Linked DNA regions of Alligator mississippiensis. The protein of the gene in region 2 interacts with the protein of the main gene of each other region in a pairwise test. Links are inferred from orthologs where the notes say so. Each region holds a gene or a part of one and is shown on either strand. Other genes may lie near its edges.

Region 1 (8,070 bases), about 17 Mb from region 2:
GTCCCCAGGTCAGGGGGTGTGGGGGGGGAAACGGCTCCGATGAGAGCTGAGGCCAGGCTGTTGGCAGCACCTGGTGTCATGCCAGCTGATGCCCTGGCACTGCACAGAGGCTGGTAGCACTGCAGACAGGTGAGAAACTGAGGCATGGAGTGAGTGGCAACTGGAGCTGGAATCAAGCTGGGGGGTGGGTACACATTCCCCAGCTTCCCCAGTGCAGGAACCCCTGGACCGGGCTGAGAGCCCGCGACCCCCCTCACCTCTTGTCTTCCCGGTGCTCATAGTAGCCCCTGCCTCGCGGCTCCTCGTATGGCCGCTTACGGCCCTGTGGCTGTGGTGGTGGCTGCTGCTGGGGTGGCCTGGGTTGGGAGGCATCAGGCGTGCTGTAGCTGGTGGGAGGCGCGTTGAAGGCTGGTACAGGGGTGCTGTAACTCGCTGGGGGCGCGCTGTAGCCAGGGGCAGGTGCACTGTAGTTGGCCGGTGGGGCGCTGAAGCCAGAAGGAGGGGCGCTGTAGCCAGGAGCAGGGGCGCTGAAGCCTGGTGGGGGTACGCCGTAGCCAGGAGCAGGTGCAGTGTAGCCAGCTGGGGGCACGCTGTAGGCAGGGGCAGGGGCACTGTAGCCAGAGGGGGGCATGCTGTAGCCAGAAGGGGGTGGGTTGTAACCGGGGGGTGGTATGTTGTAGCTGGGGGCTGAGGCGTTGTAGCTGGGGGGAGGCAGGTTGTAGCCGGGGGTGGGGTCTTCCTGCTTGACTTCCGACTTCATCTCTGTGCACAGAAAAACAGGCGGCGTCAGGGGGCTGGAGAGGCTGGGTGCAGCCTGACAGCGATGCCTCGACAGCCTCAGACACTCAGTGAGGTCTTTGAGGGTGACAGGGGGGTGGGGGGGGGTCTCTCCAAACTGCTGCAGGGGGGTGGGCAGGGCAAGCTCAGGGAACAAGGGCCAGGCAGGGCTGGTGCTGAGTTCAAGGGATACTGGAGAACCCAACACTCGAAAGCCCTAAGTGGAGGCTTCTCAAAGGTGCCAAGTTGGGGGCAGGGAACCATGGGGCAGCTGCCAGGCAGGACCCAGCCCACATCTCCCCATGGCCAAGGAGACTCCCAGGGGCAGGGGCCAGGCACCTGTGGGACCCCCCGCCCCACCAATTCCCGCCAACAAAGGCCCCTTGGCGGGCTGGTCCCTACCTGGGTGCAGGCCAGGATGCTCCGTCTCTGTTGGCCGCCGCTCGTAGCTGGACTCATTCTCCTGCCTGACGGCGCCATGCTCAAAGGACTGGTAGCCCTGGTGGTCGCTCTGGTGAGTGTTGCTGTCGATGTCGTCTGCGCAACAGAGACGTGGCTTAAGACGGGAACCGGTAGGGAGCTGTGGGTCCCGCTCACTGGGGCGGGGTGCGTGGAGCTGCACTGGAGGCTCCAGCACAGAGCGCGGTGCGGTTGGCAGGACAAGGGACCGGCCAGGCATCACCGAGGTCCCTGGGGGTGTTTCCGGGCAGGGAAGTTTGGGAGTGATGCTCATCAGGGCTGGGAGCCAGGGGAAACCCAGCAGAGGCAGGATCCAGCTGCCTGCCTGCTCCCCCAGCTGGTGTGGCCAAAACCCACCAGACCCAAAAAACCTGCAAGCAAAGCAAAGCATCCAGCAAGGCAGCAGTGAGGGGTGTAGGCCCCCCGATACCAGGGATCCGCCGGGAGGGAGGTGCCGGGGTGGGGGGGGCGGCGCAGAGACACAATGTCACCAAAGCAGCCAGGGGGTGATCGGCTCCCCACGGCAGGAAAAGGGGACGGAGACGCGGGACACACACCAACGCTGGCCTCGAGGGGCTGCCAGCGCACAGACCTCCCAGCACAACCAGCCCGGCTCGAGACAGGAGCAACAGCTGAGCTGTGCCGGGGAGCCCGGTCCCCAGCGCGGAGCTGCACCGGGGGGCCACATGCAGCCCCCCCGCCGGACTCTGGGCAGGCACCCGACTTTCAAGCAGAGCCGTCGGATCCATCGCCCCGGGGAACTTTCTGCCTCACGCCGCCACCTCCTCCACAAAGCCCGGAGGGCACACCCGCGAGCTGAGGCGCCCCAAAGGTGCCTGGAGACCAGCACAGGACACAAACGGGGCACCTCAGCACCCCCGGGCTCATCTCCGGAGGACCTGCCCTGGCGTTCCCCTCCCGGAGCCGCACGGCTCCGTATGGAAACGAGCCATGCAGCCGGCGAGCCCCTATTGCCAAGGCCCCTGAGGCCGGCGTGCGCTCCTCTGTGCAGGCAGGCAGCGTGTCGCGTCCCACCACTGCTGCAGCTAAGGCTGGGGGGGCCCCCAAAAAAGTCCTGGCTCCCAGGGTCTTGAGTGGGTTCAGCACTCCCACGGCACAAAACCAGCTCGGCCGGGAGGCAGCTCCGCTACGGGATGGGGGAGGCAGACAGAACGTGAGCAGGACAATCCCCACCGCATGCCCGGGCAGGTCCGCCGGGCCGGCCCTCTGCAGCAGGGTGACGGAGCAGAGCCGCGATGCCGTGGGCTGCCCCGGCTCCTGTCCCGCAGGGCAGCCTGGGGGCCCGGTGGCCAAGGCCCACAGGAAGAGAGCGCGGGTGACCCTTTTGGGGTACCTGGCCCCCACCACAGACTTGCAAGTCAGAGCTTGTTGCTGGAGGTGCAGCAGGGCGGGGGGCACAGCACAGCAGCGCTGGGGAGCTCCCCCCACCAGGGGAGATGCACCAGGAGACCAATGGTGGAGCTGCACCAGGGGGCCTGTCCCACCACGGAGATGCACCAGGGGCCAATAGTGGAGCTGCACCAGGAGACCCAGTCCTCAGCGCGGAGCTGCACCAGGGGGCCAATGACGGAGCTGCACCAGGGGGCCCAGTCCCCAGCGCGGAGCTGCACCAGGGGGCCAATGACGGAGCTACACCAGGGGGCCCGGTCCCCAGCGCGGAGCTGCACCAGGGGGCCAATGACGGAGCTGCACCAGGGGGCCCGGTCCCCAGCGCGGAGCTGCACCAGGAGGCCCGGTCCCCAGCGCGGAGCTGCACCAGGGGGCCAATGACGGAGCTGCACCAGGGGGCCCGGTCCCCAGCACGGAGCTGCACCAGGGGGCCAATGGCGGAGCTGCACCGCGGGCCCCGGTCCCACCACGGAGGTGCAGCGGGGCCAGTGGCGGAGCGGCTCTTGCCCCCTTACAGTGTCCGTCGGGCGCGGGGTCGCCGCCGCCGGGCCCGCGTCGCGCCTCCTCGGCCTCCAGCGCCGCCTGCAGCCGTTCGGCAAGCTCCGCCTTGAGGCCGCGCGTGTCCAGGCCGCGGCGGCCCAGCTCCTCCTTCAGCTCGTTGACGCGCAGCCGCCGCACGTCCATGGCCCCGGCCCCGCGGCCCGGCCTGGCCCGGCCCGTCACTCCGCGCGCCGCCCGGCCATGGAGCCCCCGCCGCGGCCCCGGCTCAAAATGGCCGCCCTCGCCCTCCTCCTCCCTCCCCGCGCCGGGCCGCCTTGCAACGCGCGCCGCCATTGGCTCCGCGCGCCGGCCCGCCATGTCACGCGGCTCGCCATTGGCTCCCGGCCGCCGCCCGCGGTTCTCCCGCTCGCTCTCGGTTTGTCACGGGGTGCCCCATTGGGCCGGGGCGGCCGCGGGGTTGTTACGGGCCCGGCGGTTGGCTGGAACCCGGGTGACGCTTGGGGGGAAGCGGCGGGGCGGGATTGACAGCGAAAGAGGCTGGCAGCGGACCAATCGCAGCAGGCGTCGCTCTTCTGCTGCGCTGGAGGGCGCGGAGGCGCCTGGGGTGGGCGGGGCCAGTGTTAGCACGCCTCCAATTGGCTGAGCTGCGGCGAGGCGCCTGGTGGGTGGGGCCAGCGTGCTAACACGCCTCCTATTGGCTGTTTGGGTGCCTCCCATTGGCCGAGCCCTGCACGAGTTAAAGTTGTTTTTTTTTTTCCTTGCCCCTTTCCCATTGGCGGAGCCCTGGCAACCAGGGCTGAGGCGGGGTGTTAGCCTGCTCCCTATTGGTGCAGCCCTGCTGACACGTTGTCAGCCGCACTCTCCTTGGCTGAGAGCCATGGGCGCCATTGTGGGCGACGAGGGCACGCGGCCCCAGTCCTGAGGTGGTTGCCAGAGGGCGGCCATGTTGCCCGTGCCCTCCTGCGGGGACTGGTGGGGCGCCCGCACGATGCCGCCCACCGTCCTCCTCGAGTGCCTCCTTCCCAACGGGATGCTGGTGCCCCTGGAGAGCCCCCGCGAGGCCTCGCTGCTGTCCGTGAAGCGCCGGCTCTTCCGCGAGGCCCGGAAATACCCGCTTCCCCACCTCCTCCGCGACGCCGCCTGCTACGTCTTCGTGGGCGTCACGCAGGACGCCGCCCGGGAAGAGTTTTTCGACGAGGCGCGGCGGCTCTGCGACCTGCGGCTCTTTCGGCCCTTTCTCCAAGTGGTCGAACCCGCCGGCGACCGGGACGAGAAGATGCTGAACCGGGAGATCGGGCTGGCCGTCGGCACGCCCGTCCGCGAGCTGGAGGCGTCGAGGGACCCGGAAGTGCGGGACTTCCGCAGGAACGTCCTGAACGTCTGCCGGGAGGCCGCCGAGCGGCGAGGGGCCGACGCGCCTCGCAGCCGGGCTTTGTACGCTTGGCCTCCCCGCGTCCACGCGTCGCCTGAGCTGCCCCGGCCCCTGTACGACAAGCTAGACGAAGGGCAAATGGTAGTGGCCGTATGGGTCGTAGCCTCCCTGAATAACAAGCAGAAATACCCCGTAAAAATCAGCCATGACTGCGTGCCCGAGCACGCGATCGCCGAAGCAGTCAGGGCGCAAACACGAAGCGCGTCGCTGTCACCTGAGCAACTGAAACGCCGCGTCTTGAAGTACCAGGATAAGTACGTTTTAAAAGTGTGCGGCTGTGATGAATACTTGCTAGAAAGGTATCCTCTCAGCCAGTATAAGCACATCAGAAACTGCATCATGGTTGGCCTCGTGCCCAACCTGATGCTGATGTCCAAAGAAAGCCTGTATGCCCGGCTGCCGTCGGATAGCTTTACCATCCCGTCTTGTCCCAGAGGTGTTTCTACGCCTACCCCGTACACGAATGCAGAAGTTTCCGCCAAATCCCTCTGGTCTATAAACAGTGGTCTCAGAATAAGAATCTTCTGTGCCACGTACGTCAATGTAAATACACGAGACGTGGACAAGATATACGTCCGAACGGGTATCTATCACGGGGGTGAACCGTTATGCGACAACGTGAAAACTCGAAGGGTGCCTTGTTGCCGTCCGAGATGGAACGAATGGCTGTCGTATGACCTGTACGTTCCTGATCTCCCCCGTGCCGCTCGCCTTTGCCTCTCCCTCTGCTCTGTCAAAGGCAGGAGGGGTGCGAAAGAGGAACATTGCCCACTGGCTTGGGGAAACGTGAACATGTTTGATTACACGCACACTCTCGTATCGGGGAAAATGGCTTTGAGTCTGTGGCCAGTGCCACATGGGCTGGAAGATCTGCTGAATCCTATTGGCATGACTGGGTCCAATCCAAGCAAGGAAACTCCGTGTCTAGAGCTGGAGTTTGATAGTTTTGGCGGCCCTGTCAAGTTTCCAGACATGACGGTGATTGAAGACCATGCCAGCAGGGCTGTCTCTCTGGAACTCGGGTGTAACTACAGCCGTATGGAGCTGACTAACAGGCTAGCTAAAGGTTTTGAAGTAAGAGAAAGCGACAAAGAACAACTCCGTGCACTTAGCGCAAGAGACCCGCTTTCCGAAATCACTGAGCAAGAGAAGGACTTTCTTTGGAGCCACAGATATAGTTGTGGAAACATCCCAGAAATTCTGCCCAAGCTGCTTTTGTCCGTGAAATGGAACTCGAGAGATGAAGTAGCCCAGATGTATTGCCTGATAAAAGACTGGCCCCTAATCAAGGCAGAACAGGCAATGGAGCTTTTGGACTGTAATTATCCTGATCCTGTGGTGCGATCGTTTGCCATTCAGTGTTTGGAGAAGTGCTTGACCGATGACCAGCTGTCTCAGTACTTAATCCAGCTGGTACAGGTTCTGAAATACGAGCAATACTTAGATAATCTGCTGGGGAGATTTTTGCTCCAGAAAGCACTGACCAATCAAACAATAGGACATTTTTTCTTTTGGCATTTAAAGTCTGAAATGCACAATACAAGTGTGAGGCAGAGATTTGGATTGCTTTTGGAGTCCTACTGTCGCGCATGCGGGATGTACCTAAAGCACCTGCGCAGGCAGGTGGAAGCCATGGAGAAACTAACTCACCTTACTGATATTCTCAAGCAGGAGAAGAAAGATGAAGCACCGAAGGCACAAATGAAGTTTCTCGTTGAACACATGAGGCGACCAGATTTCATGGAAGCTTTGCAAGATTTTATCTCTCCTCTTAACCCTGCCCTTCGGCTAGGGAACCTCAGGCTTGAGGAGTGCAGGGTTATGTCCTCTGCAAGAAGGCCTCTCTGGCTAAACTGGGACAACCCAGATATTATGGCTGAACTGTTGTTTCAGAACAATGAGATCATCTTTAAAAACGGGGATGACTTACGTCAGGACATGCTAACGCTTCAGATTATTCGAATTATGGAAAACATCTGGCAAAAGGAAGGTCTTGATCTTCGGCTGCTGCCTTATGGCTGTTTGTCTATCGGCGACCGCGTGGGCCTTATCGAGGTGGTCAGAAGCTCTTATACAATCATGCAGATTCAGTGCAAAGGAGGCCTAAAGGGCGCGCTGCAGTTCAGCAGCCACACGCTACATCAGTGGCTCAAAGACAAGAACCAAGGAGCGGCGTACGACGCAGCGATCGACTTGTTCACGTGCTCCTGCGCCGGCTATTGCGTCGCTACCTTCATACTGGGCATCGGTGACCGTCACAATAGCAACATCATGGTGAAGGATGACGGGCAGCTGTTTCACATCGATTTTGGGCACTTCCTGGATCACAAGAAGAAAAAATTTGGCTACAAGCGAGAGCGCGTGCCATTTGTCCTCACGCAAGATTTCTTACTCGTGATTAGTAAAGGAAACCAAGACTGTACCAAAACGCGGGAGTTTGAAAGGTTTCAAGAGATGTGCTATAAAGCTTACTTAGCAATTCGGCAGCAGGCCAATCTCTTCATCAATCTCTTCTCCATGATGCTCGGCTCGGGCATACCGGAATTGCAGTCTTTTGATGACATTGCTTACGTTCGAAAGACGCTCGCCTTGGACAGAACTGAGCAGGAAGCTCTGGACTATTTCACAAAACAGATGAACGATGCTCACTACGGCGGCTGGACGACAAAAATGGACTGGGTCTTCCACACGATAAAGCAACATGCCTTGAACTGAAGTGAAAGCAAAGAGGACCAAAACCAATAGCCAGCTTTTAGGGCTGCGCCGCTAACACCTGTTGGATTGGAGTCACACAAACCACGAATGACGTTAGAAGTTATAGCAAGAACAGAGGCAGTTTTCCAAAGGGCTTCACACACGTTTAGTAGGCTCTTTAACTTCATGTTATGCTTTAAACCCAACAAAAGGGTTTGGAAGTTTTTCCTGTTTCTGGTTTTTTGATTAAAGGATCATTTGGCAGGAGGAGGAAGAGTGCCAGCATCAGAGGCCGTCCGTGACGTGCTACAGCAAGAGCTCTGGTTCGGGAGGTGGAGACAACACCGCGTTTCTAATGAGTGGAAAGGGAACTTCTCGTTTCCCTTGGCTATTTAGATGCTGCGTATCTGGAAGGAGAGGAGTTTTAAGGGCAGAACTGTTAAAAATAATAGCGAGGGAACCACAGTGCCTTTAACTGTATTCACACACATCCTGTTTGGGGTTTAACTGAACCTTTTCGTTCTGGGGGCTGTTGTCTGCTTGGTTTTTGAAAGCAGTGTGAAATACGCCCGATACGTACCAGGTTTTCCCCTGGGCCGTATTTGTACAGGGGGAAATAAAACATCCTGGTGTTCGCTTCGGGCTCGATTGAATTGAACGTGAACTGAACAGGCAATTTCACGCGTGTTCGGAGCCTAAAGACCAGTTATTAAAATTGTTTAATTAAAATGTATTATGTATTATTTATTAAAATAATCTTTCAATAATTTTTTGTATAAAAGCGATGGCTAGCATAG
Region 2 (7,526 bases):
AACCCCATCTACACTAGGGCCAGTGATGGGCACATGGCCCCGCCGGGCTGCAGCAAGGTGAGTGCGGTTGCCTCTGTGTGGGGTGGGTCCGGGCACTACAGGCAGCTCTGGGTGGGGGCTGTGTGGGCAGGCAGGCAGGCTAATGGTCACAGCACAAGGGACGAGGAGCTGGACAACTTGGTCTTCCTCCTGGTTGGGATGGGGAAGGAACCCAGGAGTCTAGCCTCGAGTCCCCTCTAGCCCTGCTGTGTCTTTGCTCCCTGCTATGTCCTGTCCCCCTTCCCAAAGCCCCAGCCCACGTCCTGCCTCTCTCCAGCTGAAAGCCACCCTGTCTGAGACTGGGGCTGTGTTCCTCCTGGCCCGGGGGGGCTTGGCCCCGCAACCCCACCTCTTCCCCTGGAAGAACGGCTCACTCGTCAAGAAGGGCCCGTGGCGGGTGCCATCCTCGGACAGCCTCAACGACCAGTGGGGCTGGCCCAGCAGCTGCCCTGCCTTGCCTGGAGCGGTCCTGGTGCCTGCCTGCACGGGGTCGGCGATCCAGCTCTGGAGACGATGCTACCTCCGTGGGAGCCCCGAGCGGCAGGTGAGGGCCAGGCTGGGCTCGGGGCAGCTCGGTGGGGGCGGTGCTCTGCCACTGCCACCTCCTGTAACCTCAGTCAAGTCCCTTTGCCCCTCCTGTGTTGATTCAAACCATTGAATCTACCATTCAAACCATTTGCCCTCATTGCAACAGGGTGGTGTGGGCCAAGGGGCTGGATCTAGGGTGGAGAGGGGAATGGTGGAGAAGGAAGCTGGAAGCCTTAGTATCCAGTGGGACTCCCCACGTTCCCCTGCAGCATCTTCAGGACGGGGGCTATGTACAGCACCGAGTGTGCTACAGCAATGCTTTTCATCAGCCCCTGGGTGTAGCCCAATGAGGGATAAATCGAGCTGGTCCTTGTCAGGTGCCCAGCGAGGTGGGTCTGGGCTCCGGCTGTTCCAGCCTCTCCATGCACTAGCTGATGGCACTAAGCTAGCCAGTACCCCAGCTGCCTGCCCTGACCCCATGCCTCTGCTTCTTTTCCCCCCTGCTCAGCGCGGCCTCTTCCCTGCAATGCTCACCGACCTCACCGAGGAGCTGGAGTTGCTTCAAGAGTGTCTGAACGATGGGCACTGGAGGGCCACGTCTCCCCCCAGCCCTGCGGAGTCGGAGGAGGCAGGAAGCCCCCTTTCCCCGTCCCGCTGATGGTGACCACTGCTGGGAGAGGATGTTAGGCAGCGGCTGGACTCACATGACCGACTTCCCCGGCGTTCAGACCTGTCCACCTGCATGTTGGCAAAGAAGCCAGTGCCCACAGGCTGTTGTGTGCAGCTCATCTTGGAGACGGGCACCCGGATACTGCTGGATTTTCGGTCCCAGGCCTGGAACTTTGCCCAGCCCTTGGCATCTACTGAGGGGTCGCAGATATGTTGCCCAGTTGTCCTGGTGACTGGGCATCTCCCAGCAACATGGCAGAGGGGACCCGCATCTCCAGAACGAGCCCTAGAGATGGAGCTCTCCCCTTGGTCCCAGATCCACGGTCATCCTGGCTCTGGGGACTGTGGAGGAGCCCTGCCCTGCTGCTAGTTAGCTGTCCCTTCCCTGCGGATCGTGGGTGGGTCTGCAGCACCTTCCACCCACCTAGCCAGGCTGCTTCTGCTGGGTTTTCCCAGTTGGACCCCTCAAAGCAGGCAGTAGTGAGGAATCTTTGGGGTGGGAGGACTGGAAGACCCCTGTCTCCCCTGCCCTAGAGGCTCGGATGCATTGTAAGCTGCTGTGTACAAGGGAGTAGGTTGGGGAGAGGGGGCGTGGTATTTGCTGTAATCCTGCTACCTCCAGAAGCACTTTTGAAGTCCCTGAGGAGTTTTACTGTAATGCGCAAAAAAGCGTCCGGAAACCCTGCTCGTGCAAACAGACACACAGTTGCACCACATGGAAAGGCAAAAAATGTGGCGTGTACATGCACTCCCCCAAGTCCAGGTTGCGGCTGCTGCTTTCTTGCAGAGGGACAGCAGCCGGATCTGGGATTGTGAGACCATCTCTTGCAGACTCTCTTCCTTGAGCTCTAGGTCCCATTGCATCAGCTGCACATCAGGCTGTTGCATGGGCTGGTGTGGATCTGGGACATCCTCTCTGTCCCCCATGGCCAGGATCAGACTCGACCCTGTGTTACCACCTGTTCTCTGCGCTGACAAGCTTGATGGGGTGGTGGTGCCTTACGGCTGGGAATCTTCCTGACCCCTCTGGTGAATTGGGCCTTCTCCAAAAGCCCATCCTGTCTGGGAGCTTCACAGCCCAGCAAGGGGAATCTTCCCAGCGGGGTGGATTCAGGCCCTTGCTACTAGGATTCAGGGGATGGCCCCACATGGGGAAACTTGCTGGAGTCTTTCAGGTCCTTCCAAACTCCCTGCAGCTCCCCCACTTCAGTATATGCAGACATTGCTGATGGTAGCTCAGGGCCAGTATGTTCCTCCCTGCTTTGGGATCTCTTTCTAACCCTATAAAATCTGCAGCAGAGGAAGGGAGGGGAAGGGGGAACAACCTCACTGCTGATTAGGTGTTTCTATTGCAGGATTTTTTTTCTCAAGGCCCTGGCACAGTTATCAGTAACACATTTTGTTTAAAGCTATTTGTATTATTTTATTTTTTTAAAAATAGCTCTAGCTATAATTAGTAACCGGCAGGAGATGGGTTTCCATTGGGCTTGAAGCACTTTAGGCAGAACCAGAGACTACACATGGATGAGCTTATTCACGGTGTGTGCACATGCACGTGCTTCTCGCCATCTATTTCACTTAATAGAAAGGATCCCTTTAATTTCATGGGTTAGAAAAGGATCGGTGCAAGGATCGAACGCCTCCCCTTCTCGCAGGGCTTGAAAGCAGTGGAGTTGCAGGATGGGCAGAGGCAGTCACAGCTGAAAGTCCAATGCCGCTTTGGAAAACACTGTGCCGGTTGCCTGAAAACGATGGGGAGCCGTGCGCACTTCATCTTAAAAACTCCTTCCAGCCCCATGAGAGGCCTGGGGGGAAGAGCTGAGTGTCTCCATCGCTCCTTAAAAAGATGCCGGCCGGGGGCCTGGGCTCTCCCTTGAAGCAACTCCTTTGGTTACTTCTTAAGAAGTCTTTGGGTGGCCGCGGCGTTCGGATCCCGCGTCCCCCGCGACGCGAGGCAGGAGGTACGTCGCGATCCCACCGAAGGGCATTCTGTTTTTTCCTAGTCTGTATATTTTTGTAGTGACGTTTCTATTTAAGAGCCCAATAAACGCAGTATTTTTAAAGCTACGGGGTGCGGTGGCGTGTTTGAAGGACATGTCCCAGTTCACCCCAAAAGGTCGCGCGAGAGGCTGCAGTCTCCAGGTGCCGTTCGTGAGGGCGGGCGAAATCATCTCGACGTCCCGTGTGGTGCCAAATCCCACGAGCCTCCGATTCAAGGGTATTATCAGCCAGTTAATCATTACAAGTAGGACTAACGACTGATAACCCTAATGAACATGCTGGGTAGATATCAAAGTACTTCACTCAGCAGCCGCTATCGGCATTTCCTCTTATAGGCGGGGAAACTGAGGCACAGAGCGGCCCTGCAAGGACTCCCCCTGCAAGCCAGGGCTATACCTGGGAATTGCGCCAGGTTTGAAACCGGCTGCTCTGCCCCTGGGCAAGTCTCGTCCTTTTTCTAGGCCTCAATTTGTTCACCTGCAAAATGGGTGCTGTGCTAGTTATTGGCAGCAAGCCTAGGCCCTGTTGTTGTTATTACCAGCGTGTCCCACAAGGCGTTAACATCAGCAGCAGCTCAGACACCTTCGCAAGCCGCTTCCGCCCGGCTCCAACATGGCCGCCCCGCGCGCGGCTGCAGCTCTCGCCCGATTCCAACATGGCCGCCTTTGGCCAACATGGCCGCTGGGGAGCGCACTTCCGGCTTAGACGGGAACCGGAAGTGGTGTCGGGAGGGGACGAGGTGAAGGGTCGGAGGTCGCCTGGCGGCGGCGGCGGCGGCTCAGCGCGGAGGAGATGGCGGCCGGGCCCATCTCGGAGCGGAACCAGGGTGCGACCCCCCGGCCGGGCCGGGCCCGTCTCGTCCCTCCCTGGGCGGCGGCGGCTGCCTTGCTGGGGGCGCCCCGGGCCAGGTCCACGTGTCGGGGTTTTAAGCCCCCAGCGCGCGGGCGCTGCTGCGGGCCGGGCCGGGCCAAGGCCTCTGGCCCCAAAGGGGCAGGCAGGGGTTTCCCCCCGGCGCGGGGCGGACTGGGGGGTTTGCGTGAGGACCCTGCGACGTGCTCGTCCGTGCTGCCGGGGGGGTCGCCGTGCACTGACCCCCTTCTGGGCCCTCGGGGACACGGGCAGTGTCCGACTGGGTCCATCCAGCCCAGTTAATGCAGCGCCAGGGCGGCCCTATAAGCCGCCCCCTTCTTGAACGTGGCCTTGCTGGCCCCAAATTTCTCCGCAGCGAGGGTCTGGGGTTTGCGTCACAGAGCGAGGAAGGTTTTGCCCTCGCTGTCGTGCTCTGAGCCCCCAGGACTCGGCCCCGGTCTCTGCCCCTGTTCGAGCCCGTGACTGACGCCCCTTTCTTTCGTCTCTCCCTGTCAAGATGCCACCGTCTACGTCGGCGGCCTGGACGAGAAGGTCAGCGAGCCGCTGCTGTGGGAGCTCTTCCTCCAGGCTGGCCCCGTGGTCAACACGCACATGCCCAAAGACCGGGTCACGGGCCAGCACCAAGGTGAGAAATCTCCATCGTGGTAAAACCTGGGTTTTATATGCTGGACGCGGCAAGGGAGAGGGGAACAGGGGGGAAAACCCTGATCGGACCCAGCTCGCTCTTCCTTTCAGCGTCTGCTCTCTGCTGCCACGTGACAGGAGACGGGGCAAAGTGGGCCTGTGGCCTCACCCAGTAACTGGCAGTTCTTGTGTGGGTCAGCCCCCGCTGGTAGGGAAAGGCTTTCAAGGACCTTGTCTTCCTAGTCATCTTCCATGTTGCTGGAGCAGGGAGTAAATGGTGCATTAGAAGTGAGACCTACGGTGGTAGCGCACCCGTGCTCAGAGAACAGGGCCCTGAGCTGCCAGGCAGAAGGACGGCTCTGAGGACTGACAGGAAGGGTGGCCCAGAAAGCTTTGAGACTACATATGTATTGTGCATGTTTCAGTTCTCGTAGTGCTTTAGTGCAGCAGCGGGTGTGCCCCTCCTGTTGCACTCAAATTAGTCTGCCACAAAGGTTTCCCCCTACTGAGTTAAACTGATACAACGTATCGGAGCAGGGGGTGAGAGAACTTGGGAAGAAAAAGATCCCTGGGTTATATGGTCATATATACATGCACTGAGGTGGATCTGACTGGCAGGTGGAGCAGAGAAGGTTTCCCATCAGCAGTTGGGATCAGGGTAGGTGTGAAGGGGGCACTTCCAGATGAGCCAACAGGAGAGAGAAACGCAGAGGAAGCAGGGTTTTGCTCTGATGGGGCCAGGGGTCGTGAGGAAGCGGAGAGCAAGGGGGAGAGGGGTTCGAGTGGGTCCCAGGGGCTGCATCCCATCCCAGTGAATTGCGGTGTGTTGTAGGCTACGGCTTTGTGGAGTTCCTCAGTGAGGAGGATGCCGACTATGCCATCAAGATCATGAACATGATCAAGCTGTACGGGAAGCCCATCCGGGTGAACAAGGCCTCGGCACACAACAAGAACCTGGACGTGGGCGCCAACATCTTCATCGGCAACCTGGACCCAGAGATCGACGAGAAGCTGCTGTACGACACCTTCAGCGCCTTCGGCGTCATCCTGCAGACACCCAAGATCATGCGGGACCCCGACACGGGTAACTCCAAGGGCTATGCCTTCATCAACTTCGCCAGCTTCGACGCCTCAGACGCTGCCATCGAGGCCATGAACGGGCAGTACCTCTGCAACCGCCCCATCACCGTCTCCTACGCCTTCAAGAAGGACTCCAAGGGCGAGCGTCATGGATCAGCAGCTGAGCGCCTCCTCGCTGCCCAAAACCCTCTCTCGCAGGCTGACCGGCCCCATCAGCTGTTTGCAGACGCCCCTCCTCCGCCGTCTGTGCCCACCCCGGTTGTCACATCCCTGGGCCCCGGGGTCACACCACCAGGTGAGGGAATCTCTGTGCTGTGCCCCCCGGCAGGGGGGGCGTTGCTTAGTTGGTGGCTGGGTGCAGTCTGTCACGGGTTTTTGCTCTCTGGGTTGGTATTGAAGCAATGCCAGGGCTTTGCTGGACCACAGGGAGGAATGTGGCAAGCGTGCCCATTGCTCTGGGTTGGCACTGATTTGTTGGCCGGGGTCTTGCCTACATGTGGGGCCCGGAACACAGCTCTGGGGGCTCAGAACGCCAGCCCCTTGCTGTGCTCGGGCCAGGGGGTTTTCAAGCCTGGTTCTTGACCCCACTTAGAAAGGAACGCTGCCTGCCCCCCAGGTGGTTGGCCATGTCACCTGCTCTGAGATGAGTATCTCTTGTACTGGACCAATCAATGCAAAGCTTTCCATCCCCAAGTTGATTGGCCCATCACTGGGATGCCTTGCTCCCCTGAGCCATGCCATTGGCTCTTGCGTGGCTGGGAAAGGCGGGGCCGCAGCATGCAGGCCTGTGGGGTGATGATTTGTGCAGGGGTAGTGCTCTCACTGATCCTTTGCTCCCTCAGGCATCCCACCCCCCGGCTCGTTCCCCCCACCGGTGCCACCCCCTGGAGCCATGCCCCCAGGAATGCCTCCTGCCATGCCCCCTCCACCCATGCCACCAGGCGCTGGTGCCCCTGGCCCACCATCTGGAGCTGCACCCAGTGGAGGACACCCACCGCACCCACATCCCTTCCCACCGGGCGGGATGCATCACCCAGGTAAGGTGTTGGGAACAGGCTGGGCTAGTGGACAGAGCACTGGACTGGGCGCTAATGCCACGTAACTCAGTTTCCCTTTTCTGTAAAATGGGCACAGTGACACTGGCTTCCTGCCTGATTCACTGAGCCCTGCTCTAGACAAAATTCCCATGCAAGAGTAAGTGCTTAGTGATTTATTAACGAGGGTGTTAATAATCCTGCTCTTCAGTTAGAGGGGGGGGATGTCTGAGCAGGGAAGCCAGGGTGGAGTGGTCTGGGTCAGTGTGTCTCATCGCTGAGCCTTGATTTTTAAAATTGCCTGCATTCTTTTGGAAATGGCTGGCTTCCATCAGCTGGATGCTTCGTGGCTTGGACTGAATGTGAATGTTAGGGATTGGTCCCTGGGAGCCTGGCACTGCCCCCATCTGGCCACCTGCACTGGGATTGGGGCCTGGCCACCCCCCCCCCAGCCCCCCTCAGGTGAGATTGGGCCCTTAGTTCAGGATCTCTTGCCAGATCCCCTGACCTTGGTTTCTGGTTCAAATGGGTGCCTTGCACACAGATGGTGTTTGCACCTGCAGCTGTGGTCCTGGGGAGCTGAAGGCCTAAGGCTGAACACTGCCCTTGTCTTCCTACCCCTTTTTTATGCTCTCAGCTCCCTCCAGAGGTAGCCAGTTAAGGCCAGTTGATCTGAAAACC

The links.
Region 1: the proteins of SF3B4 (region 2) and HNRNPUL1 interact in binary tests that used the Homo sapiens proteins (3 or more experiments, as listed by UniProt). The link is inferred for Alligator mississippiensis from reciprocal best matches to the Homo sapiens genes SF3B4 and HNRNPUL1.

Annotation. Positions count from the first base shown.
Region 1 is NC_081838.1:1,511,217-1,519,286, reverse strand, and holds the start of HNRNPUL1 (heterogeneous nuclear ribonucleoprotein U-like protein 1), read right to left. Parts: upstream 3,415-8,070; 5' UTR 3,331-3,414; coding exon 3,162-3,330; intron 1,315-3,161; coding exon 1,180-1,314; intron 763-1,179; coding exon 258-762; intron 1-257. Other genes in the region: phosphatidylinositol 4,5-bisphosphate 3-kinase catalytic subunit alpha isoform-like, read left to right, coding at 4,091-7,294.
Region 2 is NC_081838.1:18,100,214-18,107,739, reverse strand, and holds the start of SF3B4 (splicing factor 3B subunit 4), read left to right. Parts: upstream 1-3,952; 5' UTR 3,953-4,029; coding exon 4,030-4,063; intron 4,064-4,603; coding exon 4,604-4,732; intron 4,733-5,563; coding exon 5,564-6,106; intron 6,107-6,653; coding exon 6,654-6,848; intron 6,849-7,526. Other genes in the region: MTMR11 (myotubularin-related protein 11), read left to right, coding at 1-57, 317-583, 1,076-1,225. UniProt on the Homo sapiens protein: Component of the 17S U2 SnRNP complex of the spliceosome, a large ribonucleoprotein complex that removes introns from transcribed pre-mRNAs.